Drosophila melanogaster: one gene and its partner. The protein of the gene in region 2 interacts with the protein of the main gene of each other region in a pairwise test. Each region holds a gene or a part of one and is shown on either strand. Other genes may lie near its edges.

What was found.
Region 1: the proteins of gish (region 2) and Creld interact in a two-hybrid assay, tested with the Drosophila melanogaster proteins (one large-scale study listed by BioGRID).

The regions. Positions count from the first base shown.
Region 1 is NT_033779.5:100,835-105,803, reverse strand, and holds Creld (cysteine rich with EGF like domains), read right to left. Parts: upstream 3,425-4,969; 5' UTR 3,346-3,424; coding exon 2,898-3,345; intron 2,799-2,897; coding exon 2,370-2,798; intron 2,289-2,369; coding exon 2,041-2,288; 3' UTR 1,927-2,040; coding exon of another isoform or gene 1,868-1,926; 3' UTR 1,662-1,867; downstream 1-1,661. Other genes in the region: Nhe1 (Na[+]/H[+] hydrogen exchanger 1), read left to right, coding at 1-292, 349-413, 468-799, 857-1,331; Zir (Zizimin-related), read right to left, coding at 3,886-3,928, 4,185-4,555, 4,610-4,788, 4,862-4,969.
Region 2 is NT_033777.3:16,270,559-16,277,431, reverse strand, and holds the start of gish (gilgamesh), read right to left. Parts: upstream 4,432-6,873; 5' UTR 4,102-4,431; intron 3,281-4,101; 5' UTR 2,289-3,280; coding exon 2,263-2,288; intron 1-2,262. Other genes in the region: Mat89Ba (maternal transcript 89Ba), read left to right, coding at 5,098-5,136, 5,193-6,571, 6,625-6,735, 6,792-6,873.

The DNA of each region.
Region 1 (4,969 bases), on a different chromosome or scaffold from region 2:
GTATTCGGCGAAAGCATCCTCAACGACGCCATATCTATTGTGCTGACTGCATCCATAACCCAATCCGCTAACGTCAATGCTGAGGCCAGCACTGGAGAAGCCATGTTCAGCGCGTTGAAGACCTTTTGCGCGATGTTCTTTGCTTCGGCGGGCATTGGAGTCATATTTGCACTAATTTCGGCTCTTCTTCTGAAGCACATCGATTTACGAAAGCATCCATCCCTCGAGTTCGCGATGATGCTAATGTTTACTTACGCACCTTACGTCTTGGCAGAGGGAATACACTTAAGCGGTATATCAATGTTGTTGACTATGACTCTAAAAGCTAAACATTTTTTTCAACTATAGGTATTATGGCTATACTATTTTGCGGAATCGTCATGTCCCACTACACGCATTTCAACCTATCCACTGTAAGTCATATGATATCCCTATTTTATATATTATTAAAACTTTTTTAATCGTAGGTTACCCAAATTACCATGCAGCAGACGATGAGGACACTAGCTTTCATTGCTGAGACCTGCGTGTTTGCTTATCTGGGATTAGCAATCTTTTCTTTTAAACACCAAGTTGAACTATCTTTTGTTATATGGGCCATTGTGCTTTGCTTAATTGGCCGCGCCTGCAATATTTTTCCGCTCGCGTTCTTGGTCAACAAATTTCGCGAGCATAAGATCAATAACAAGATGCAGTTCATTATGTGGTTTTCTGGCCTACGCGGAGCGATTTCCTACGCGCTATCTTTGCACTTGAATCTTGACAGCCAGGAGAAACGACACGTCATCATAACAACAACGTAAGCATATTCCGGATTGTAAAATAATGCTCAGTCATTGAAGAATTAAAATTTCAGATTAATCATTGTGCTATTTACCACGCTAGTGCTGGGGGGCTCCACAATGCCTCTGCTAAAGTACCTTAAGCCAGGAAAAAAACGGCGGGCACGCGGCTCTGGAAGGAATGCCGCTGAGGAGGGAGGTCGACGCAACGGCAGCGGTAGGAAGCGTTCAAAATCTATTTCCCTATCGAAAACTCGCGAATGGGGCCAGGCAATCGACTCTGAACACTTGTCTGAACTCACCGAGGAAGAGGACGTCACCTTTACTCAAGCGCGCGATCGTTTTGGGCGCATGGATCGCAAGTACTTTATTCCGTTTTTTACACGTCGGTTCAATAGTCAGGAATTGCACGAGTGCAAGTCACAGATGGCCGACCTGACTAACAAGTGGTACCAAGCCATTCGAGTGAGTCCATTGGATTCAGATGAATCGGACGAAGAGATAGGACTAGCGGCCAGCACAAGTCAAATTCATTTGACACGGTCGTAGGGATTAAATGGCTGTTGTGGGGGGAGCTCTGTATCCGTTTCGGACTGTGTTGGATAACTTTAGAAGCCAAAGGGAACGATCGTATGTAATGCTTAAGTTCCTCTAGTTAATATTTTTAGAGTTTTTATTTATATAGCGCGGTGATGGTTGTTATCTTGTGTATATTTTTTGTTTACAAATTTTCATTTTGTAAGATCCAAATGCAATGATTCATTCGTATCACTGTAGCTCCTTTATTAATCCGCTTAAAGCAGTATTACATTGCACACGACAGATGGTCTTCAAAATGAAAATTTGGACGTCACAAAAGCACACTACGTCAGTAATTTTAGTTAAAAATATTTATTCATACGAATATATGCTGTATTTGTGATTTTATACATTTTTGAAACCAAATAAATATCTAAGTGTGGTACGTGTAAAAAAATATGGTCATGCCCTGCTTTTTGAAATTCTAATTTATAATTACATATCAATTGATAATATTACCTATTAAAGTAAAATTGGCTACAAAAGGTGTGCGTTTTTGGTTACTTTTACAATTCTTCGTGCGTGGACTCTTCACCGAGCACCGTGGAGTTTGAATCACTGCGGACTGCAAACGAAGTACAAAAATCGTTAGATGTCTTGGGGGAATGTTAAAAGATTATGCTTTTCAAAACGCTCGTGTATATCATAAAAGGAAAGCAATGTTGACATGTCTTTTGACTTATAAAGACTTCATTATTAGTTCCTCCAACTGTTTTGTATCTATTTCGGGTTGGTGGCCGCCTCCTGCCTCCGAGTTGATCCAGTACTCGGAAACAGCAATGTACCCTGCCACTGCCGCCCCAACAATGCAACCCCAGGCAATATGAGTAGAGCTCTGGAAGATGACACAGGTGGCCACGCACATTCCGAAGTAGGTGAGCATTCGCGTAAAGCTTACGTAGTTGCTGCGTTGCTCCGCAGAAATATCTTAAATGATCGGAGGCGCAATACATACAGTGGACAATGCGTTGCTTAAAAGCAAATTTATTAAATTTCTGTCTTACTTACCATGACACTTTCCTTCCTTCAACTCATAGCCATCCGCACACTTCCTGCACATGTCAGGGCCATCACCATCGCATCCATCGCAAGATCGATCACACTCCAGGCAACTAAAGGAGCCCTCATTGTTCACGCAGAACTGCTGTGGTCGGCAAGGGTTTGGACGCTGTTGCTCCAAGCACTCATTAATGTCGACACATCCTGCCTCCGAGTCCATGCTCCAGCCCTTCTTACACTTGCGGCAGCTCTTGGGACCACCTCCCGTGCAGCCTCCTTCCCCACAGGCCGCATGGCACTGTGTACACAGCAATTTCTTTTCGTCACGGAATGATTCGTAGTGCTCCGGTCCACATTCGTTGCAGTTTGGACCCGCATAGCCGGGATCACATTTGCACTTTCCGTTACCCTTTCTAGTTCCGTCTCCTTTGCATTTTCCTGAAATTTGTCATGTGGGTAAAATTAACGAAGACGGCAATCTTAAGTTGACACACTTATGTAAGTTGTGGCCTGTAATACTTGGTTATCATTACTTACCATTTCCATTGCACTCGGTGCAGGTCAGGCAGTCTGGTCCGTAGGTGTTCAGCGGACAGCAGACTGTTAGCTGATCGATGCAAAGCCATGACTGCAGGTCGGGACTCTCTGTTTGTTTGTGGATAAACCAGTCCTCGAGAAGCGCCTCGTGCTCGTTAGCCAGGTTGTGGCAGTGATCCTTGTTTATCACTTCTCCTTCCGAACATAGCTTCTCCTGGATCTCCACTAGCCGTACCTCGCTGTTCTTGTACGAACGCAACTTTTCCTCCTCCCATGCCGTGTCCCCGCCCGCGTGTCCGCGTTTTGTCCTTTCGAGTCCTGCCCTGAAAGAGCTAACAAGCTGGGTACATGCCCTGCAGGGCGGCGGAACAGGCTTTTCGGGAGAATATGACGCCGAAGCAGCGGCTATGAATACTAGCGTTGCGAGCCAACAATACTTGATTCTCATTTTTATTTATTTATTGTCTTTTTAACCGGCAAACTATCTGAGTTTACGTGTAATTAAAGCCGACACTATCGATAAATAAAAACATCGATAGTATACTCGAAAGTTTCGCGAATACCGATAGGTCGCGTTCGATACCATTGCCTCACGGAGCTCACTCTTAGTCAATCTAACAACCGTTAACGACCCATGCGAAATTCGAGGATTATCATTTTCGAATACTTCCCTTTTCTGGTAATCGACAATTAAATTTTGTTGCTGTAGGATACGATTTGTTTCACTCACTTTAACTGCACCTCCTTGTAGCTTGAAACATGTTGCTTTAACTATTTTCGTAAAAGTAAAAAAGTGTAAACTTTATTTTTTTCGCTTTTTAATATTTTGCTTAATCTATTAGATGCATAAAAAAGTTATGCTATTACATTAGCAATTATAGAGATCGATAATTTAAAATGTAAGATTTACTTAAAATAATCCGATACGCTAGACATGAAAGACCAAAAGTATGATAATTTGATTGCAGACTAAGTCGTGTGCAAGAAGTTACCATTTCAAAGGAGTACTTTTGTTGTTGTACGCGTTGGCCCTATTGGATGTATTTAGAAAAGAAATAAAAAATTATATAAGTTAATGTTTACTTTTTGCACTGGTGGTTTTTAATATAGTCATATAGTAAAGTAATATCTATATTAGGCTGGATTCTATAAATATCTAATTAAGCATCTTATGTCTATTATTTAGAGCACTCCGTTGAGGAACAAAATAAGAAAGACATGAGAATTTTAATACATATGTATACACAATGTAACTTTCCTTTTCACTGTATAACAATAAAAACTTACTTGACAACGCCATGATTCTGAACTGATGTAAGAGTAATAAAGGGAGTCAATCGTTCAATGAACCGATCGTTGTTACGTTCCAGTTCTCGTTGGTAATCTTTTTGATCTGAAAGTATTAGATTGCGATTCTTTTTCAAAGCATCAGCACAACGCTTTGAAAACTCGCGAAAGCACAACCGAAGTTTGTTTTGGTGTTTTGTCGGTACAGTTGTTCCGTCGGATAAATTGGAAAGGAACACACTCGCCATTTCCATCGGTCCTTGGTTAACAGTGGTTCCAATACATCCCTGCAGTACCATTTGCAATATTTTGGGGTCTGCTGGCTCTTGATTCGTGGCAGCTGCCAATTCCAATGTTTTTTTTTGAATATCCTAGGCAATAACGTTTAATTTTATTAACTTTTGGGATTTTACAACATAACTTACTTCAATTGCCACTTCAATCGGTTCCAGGACTATTTGCTGTCGGCTAATTACCATAATGCGAGTTTTTACGTATGGAAAGTGATTCGCCGTGGTCAAAATCGTTTTCCGTTTACACTGCTCATTTAGTTCGCCATGTGCCTTTCCATTTTTAGTAAAAGGCGTGGCATATATAAAACGTTCTGCATAAACCAAAAATGTTAAAATTATAATTTTAAATTTCGATTTAAATTATCTGTTTAATTCATATCATACTTATATTGAAATTCCGCTCAAAGTATGTCTCACGATGACGCATTTCATATGTTTCAAAGTAGGGTTCAACATAAGTAATTTGAATGTAAGCCTTATCGGGATCCAAGC
Region 2 (6,873 bases):
TTATTATTGGAGCTACTTTTCGCTACACGCAACTCGGCTTTCTTTTTGCTGTTCTTTTTGCCTCATTCATACAGTAAAGCTACCCTAGATTAAACTCTTAAATAAATCGTAAAATTATTTAAGAGGTACGTTTCTCAAGTAGATTTTAAAAAAATAATAACTAGAGATTCTTTGCTTCGTAATTTCGACTATAAGGCTGATTAATTTAAAACTATATTTTACCTATTTTAGCATAATTATGGCAGGCGTCCTTAACATAATTTAAAATCATGTTTAAATATATGTTGATACTAAACCAACAACGCTAGTTCGTGCTGTACGAATGACTGGTGGCAAGACTGGCGTGGCCTACGTTATGTTGGTTTTGTTCTCGTTTTTAACTGAGAATTTAGGTTATCCCCGTCGCCCCTGCACCATTCACTTGTCATAATAGCTCGGCTATTAAATAATAAAAAGTAATACAAAAAGTTTGTTTTTTATTACATTCGCTGTCTCCAACTAAAATGTGTGGAAATGTGAATATCTAGATGGGTGTGAGTAAGTTTGTTTTGTTGGCTAGCAACAAAATTACGTTAGTTTAGCTGGGTTAGTTGCTTTCCGTTTTCTTGTATTATGTACCGCCGGTGGAGTGGAAAATAAATGTTGTAACATGATTTTTTTTTTTTTTGCTTTTTCATACATTTTGTTGAGTAAACGTTAAAGAGAAAAGGCTCAATCACCACCAGTTGTGACCTAACCTAAATCTATTAAAACGGGTCATGAAACAGTTTTAATTTCACAGAACAACATTCAAGGTTCGCAGGACCAGAATCTACGTCTTCTGACTTCCCAGTTCTGCTTTTCTTATATAACTCCCAGAGGTCAACTAGAATCCCCGATAAAGGGTGCTACTGAAGTCCCCGGTTTCTTACCCATCTTGATGAGCGACAAGCAAACAAGTGCTTTGTGTGAGTATATATAGCTGGAAGACCCGAAAATGCAGACAGCAAACATTGGGAAGACCCAATGGCAAACATATGCGCGTACGTATGTATAAAGAACTATAAAAAACAAAAACAGAGATACACAGACACAGGAAGACTTCGGCCCAACAAGAACCTAGAAATGTCAATAAGCGAACACGAGGTAAAATCGTCAGCAACGAAAGCTTTGGACCCACATTCAAGGCTAAAAAGGCGGCTCTTCCGTCGGCCTGACACAAGGAGGCCGATCGACTGAAATGCCTATAAAATATTTATAATGTGCGTGAGTTGTGTGCACTTCGTTTCCCGCTCTCCTACACGAAAGACCGGTGCTATCTATCACGCACCCACATATGTATGTATGTGGGTATTATGTATTGCATTGGAAACCCATTTCATTCACCCCCTTCTCATGGCTCTTCTTCTTAGTTTGGCTGGCGTGCCAGAGGCGAGAAAAAGCAGACGCCATAAGCCAAAAGCAACAAAAACACTTGCGAAAATAAAATAAAATCAAACACACAAGTTTAAATAGAAACATCTCTTTGCTAAAAATAAAATCGTTCGGCAAAAAAGGCAGCTACAACTAAATCTGTTGCTTGAACTTTTGACAATGTACAGTATTCGCTAGGAAATTAAAAGGAATTAGCTTTATGGAAATTTATTTATGTTAAACGAAATAAAATTATTTTAAACCAGACTCATTTTCTTTAAAAATTCGCAGTTTGCATTCGTTAATATTTTAAAAAGTTTTATGAGTGAAAGAAAAGCTAGTTCTATTGGTTAACTAAGCCAACCAAATCAAAACTGTTAGGTTTTAAAACTTGCAAACACGCGTTTCCCGACACAGCCATAATCTTATCGCTATCAAAATATCCAACCGCTTCTACGCCTGATAACAGTGTACTGTAGTACCGAATATGGAACATTTATGAGAACAGACGTCGCTTCCGTAGATAGTGGCAATGGTTTTTTAGCACGGCTTATCAATGCAAAATTATAAATAGTCGCAAGCCTATGGTCTCTAGTCAAAATTTGAGTACCGCTTGGAGTTGGAAGGTATAGCTAAGGGGCGTACAAAAGATTCAGATTCAAAAGCAGGGATAAAGCCAGTGGGCTAGATTCGCTTATCTTGATTTTCGATTGACAATAGAAAACTATAAATGGGTTTCAATACTGTAGCCAAAAGCAATGCCAACTTAAATGGTAGGATTAATTTTTAATTTTTGAAAGAGTCTTAGAACCATTACCTCTTTATGAATTTGGGGGATAATCGATATACAATTACACAATCATAACTCACCTTGCTTGCCGTTCTCGTCGCTGCATTTCGCCTAGCTAATCTCGCTTGAATTTTGATCGCTTTTCCGTAATTTTGATAATGATTTTTTTATCGACTGCCGCTGCTGCTTTTGTTTTTTTTTTTCCAACGTTGAGGCTGTTAATGTTGCTGACAGGCAACTGGTTTGATCCGAAATGCTGACTCTGTTTGACGAACAAACTGGAGGATCTGCAGGATCTGTGGGATGCGTGCGAATTGAGCGAATTATCCTCACCGCCCACACTCACACGCATTCGCGCACTCACTCACACTCACTTAGCGTCCGCGCATGTCGCGCATGCGAACAACACACACGGGAGATCCGTCGCTCTCTTTTGCTCTTTCCCCCGCTGGACGACAGGTGTGTGTACAGAGATTGCCTCTCTCCCTCTGTTCGCTAGCTTACAGTTATTCCAGTTGTTCCTTTTCCTTCTCTTTCTGCTGTTGTTGTTGTTGTTGCTATGGGGTCGTCGTTGTTTGACATCAAGTATGAAATTTGAGCAGCATCTCCTTGAAATTTCAGCTTTGGTGCTATACTTTCCGAATTTATTTTATGTTTTTGGTGAGCTGTGTGGTAGTTTAGTTATGTGTTCATATGTCAAAAGGCGGGCTATTTGTCGTAGGACTATTTTCCTATTGTTAATCGGCTTTAGGTTCCGGTGTAAATTAGCCAAGGCGAGTGTATCTATGTTGTTAAGAATTAAGGAAAACAGCCTCGTGCTACGCTGAACAACTATGTAAACAAATAATTTTGGCTAAACAATTTGACAAACACACTTTCGCACATTTTATCCAACAATTTTTGTGACAACAGATCTGAATCTCCGAATTCATTCAGATTGTTGCTATGATATTTTTCCTCCCAGTTTTTGATGACATTTTAGGCAAAAGGGACTATGTTGCTGTTTAAATATGTAGTTAAATTTCAATTAAGGGAAATTTAACCGGTCAGTATCACGCCTAAACTTTTAATGCTCACGATCGTGGAAATCAAAGCAATCTGAAAAATAAGAATGGAAAAGTTAAAGCAATTGTAAAAGAGCTGAATAAACAAAATTGTAAACGTAAAGATCGGTCTTAATTCCAAGCGCTTTGAATGTTTTGACGAAAGATCATGTTAACTGATACAAAATATAAAAAAACTCATATTACCGACGATTTAAACATTTTTCATTCTGTATGGATAATAAAAATAGTAAATAGACTAATGAATGTACGAAACTGCGGTATTTCTTTTGGTATGTTAGGCCAGCCATAGCGTATGCTGGTCACACTAAAAGCACTGATGAGAGCGCTAACTAAATTTGTTTTTTTTTTTCAATTGATTTTCATTTAATTTAGTAAGAGTTACTATTGACTTTAACTTAAAACTTTTAAAGTCATCGTCGCACAAATGAAAGTTACTCTCTTCTAAAAGGTACCAAATTAAAATTTAGAAAATTACAGAAAATTAGGCTAATTAGCTGCCATGGCCACCGCGCCGTATAAATTGTTGGAAAAATCTCTGGGGCCGCAAGGTCGAAGTAAATATTTCCGTACGTGATTTCGTTTATTTTTATAAATTTTCAAGTTTTGTTATTCGATGCAAAAAACGAGCCAAGGCGGCGATGGCCAAAGACCCAAAGAGAATAAGAGAGAGAAAACCAAGAAAGGCAGAGGGGCAAAGAGGCAGAGAGGGTGTAACTACTCGACTTTTGGCCATATTTTTTTCAATGGGCCTCCTTTCTGCCAACGCATCATTTTATAAGGTTTGCTTTGATCTTTACGGAATGAACGACTTGTGGGCTTTATTAATTAGGCAACTTTTAACTGCCGATTTACCTTTTATACAGTTTTGCACGCATTTTCATTACGCCTCATTTTTCACCCATACACTCTCACACGCACGCACGCACGCACAGACACAGTTACACACGTTCGGACCGAATATTGAAATTTGCAACTCGATTTGCTACTGTGCGCTCGTCGATTTCTGGATAACAACTTAGTTCACTACTTTTTATAAATTAAGCTGGGCTTGTGTTTAACTGATTTTCTACGAAACAATCCTCGAAAGACCAAAAAACGCACGCAAGAGAGCACGAGAAAAATGGTGCGATTTTTTCCCCTGCCTGCAAACACACACACACACGCTTATACATGGACAGAGACGGAGTAAGACCGTATAGAAAAACGAGGGAAATACTCTAGGCTGATTTAATGCTGATTACTGGTAAAAGAAAAATGGGATAATTTAATTAGCTTTTCCCGTTTATTTTAAACAGATACTTATATACTTGTGCTAAAGACAGAACTTACCTAAAGCCCTCTTTACATAAAAGATGTTTAAACATAATTATGAAATAAAAATACTGTTTAAAATACTGTTGCTGGCGAAACCAATTAGCCGGTAAATTTGTTTATCTACTCTTTAAAACTGTATAGGCCCACGGTAATATCTTTCGCGTTTAACTGATAATTTGTTTTTATAATATTATAAATTTTATCTTATTTATTGGTCCTGGATCCAAGGATTTCTCGGCAATTGGTATAGACATTTACACTTCACATTGTCTAAATTTGTAACTTATTCAACAACTGTGTACCATGCAATATATTTTGCTCTAATTTATTTAGTGTATAAAACCTTTTCAATATTTTAATTATAATTACGTTCGACACTGTTTTTGCGGCTGATTTGGGACTAAAAAACGAATCTGCCCAGTTCTAGGGTGACCATACAAAAACCTCTAATGAAATACCGAATTCTGAAATACCGCATCTGCAACACGTGCGAGTTTAGCTCTCTCTCCAACAAGTAAATAAATTTTATATTATATGCGATTTGTACAGGGAAACATCATGCCAGGAAAGTTGGTAAGATTGTCTAGATCTTTATGGAAACTATTTGGCCTATAACATACTTTGTTTAGGTGGGCTCTCCGAAGGGAGCTGCTCGAACAGGTACCCAAGCAATTGCACATGCCGGGGATCACAGCGACCTTGATGAACCAAAACCCAAAATCGCCAAGAGCGACCCACCATCCACTGCCATACCAAAGAAGAACAACTTCAAGCAGAGAGAAGGTACCAAGAATGTAAAGCCGCCCACTTTGGAGGAGATGAAGGAGCTACGAGACACCCAAAATCTCTTCCACTCCAATCTCTTTAAGCTTCAAGTTAAGGAAATGCTGGAGGAGCTGCAGTTAAAGCAGAAATACACAGATTTCATTGAAAACTGGCTTGAATCCTTTACGGCCTTTACCCGACAGCTAAAGGATGGCTTGATGGAGCGTACCCACTTGGAAGTTCCAATGAAGCTTTCTGAAAAGCCGACCGGATTTGTTTTCTCCAAGCCCACCAGGGAACCTTATCTGATCGGAGCCGCCGCCACGGGCACTTTGCTGGGTCCCAAAATTGTAGTGGATGTGGCCCTGGAGATGCCAAAAGAATCCCTGCACAAAGAAGATTACCTAAACCTTCGCTATGACCAGAAGCGAGCTTTGTATCTTACTTATGTGACGGAGAGGATGATGGAGTCCCCAGATTATGCAGAAGATCAGTTTAATTTCAACTACTATGCTAACAACCCGCTTAAGCCGGTTCTGGAATTGATCCCAGTTACTAAGCAAGTAAACAAGCACCTGCAAGTGCGTCTGTTCATCACTGCCCCATTAAGCAGTTTTAAGCCAGGCAGATTTGTTCCCTGGAACAACAATATTCGGCCCTCGTTTTACGGTGACGAATGGGACGAGAAAGATCCGCTGCCCTCCACCCAACACTACAACGCAAACGTACTGTTTGATCTAACTTTGTCCGAGAACCAGGCTCAATTGGATAAGGCCTTTAAGAGCAGGCGTAATTTTCAGGACGGCCTGCTGCTCCTTAAAGTATGGTTGCGTCAGAGGCAACTGGACATAGGTTACAGTGGGTTTGGTGCCCACATCTTAGCCGCTTTTATTGTGTACCTAAATACGCAGCGCATTCTGCATCAGTCAAGCAGCAGTTACCAAGTGGCACGCACTGTATGGAACCAACTGGCGAACACGGACTGGACGAAAGGCATTAGCCTGTCTGTTGCTCCCATTCAAACGGAAGAATTAAACAAGTTTGCCGAACACTATGACGTTTGCTTTATAGACTTCACTGGACAGCATAATCTATGCGCAAATATTCCGCTTTACCTGTATCAGAGAGTTCGAGAGGAGGCCAAACTGGCGGTGGAACTACTGAACGACATGAAGCTAAACAGTTTCCCGCTTATCTTTATGCAAAAGTGTCCACTGTACAGCAGGGTGGATAATATCTTAAAGTATGTGAAGCTAAAATGTTAGTTTTTCAATTATAAACTTTATTTTTCCCCAGGATTTCCAATTATTCATGCATAAATCAAATGCTTACACTGCATTCGCATCCTCGAATTAAGTACGATTTTGCTAATTATGGTTACCCGCAGCTGCTACATTTACTGACTGAGTGAGTTAACTAAGCTAAACAGGCAACTTACAAAGAAATAATAATCATAACTTTAGGCTCCTTAAAAAGGGACTTGCTGAACGTGTCCACTCCATACTACCCTTAGAAACTGCGACAGCCGCCTGGCCTGTGGAAAAA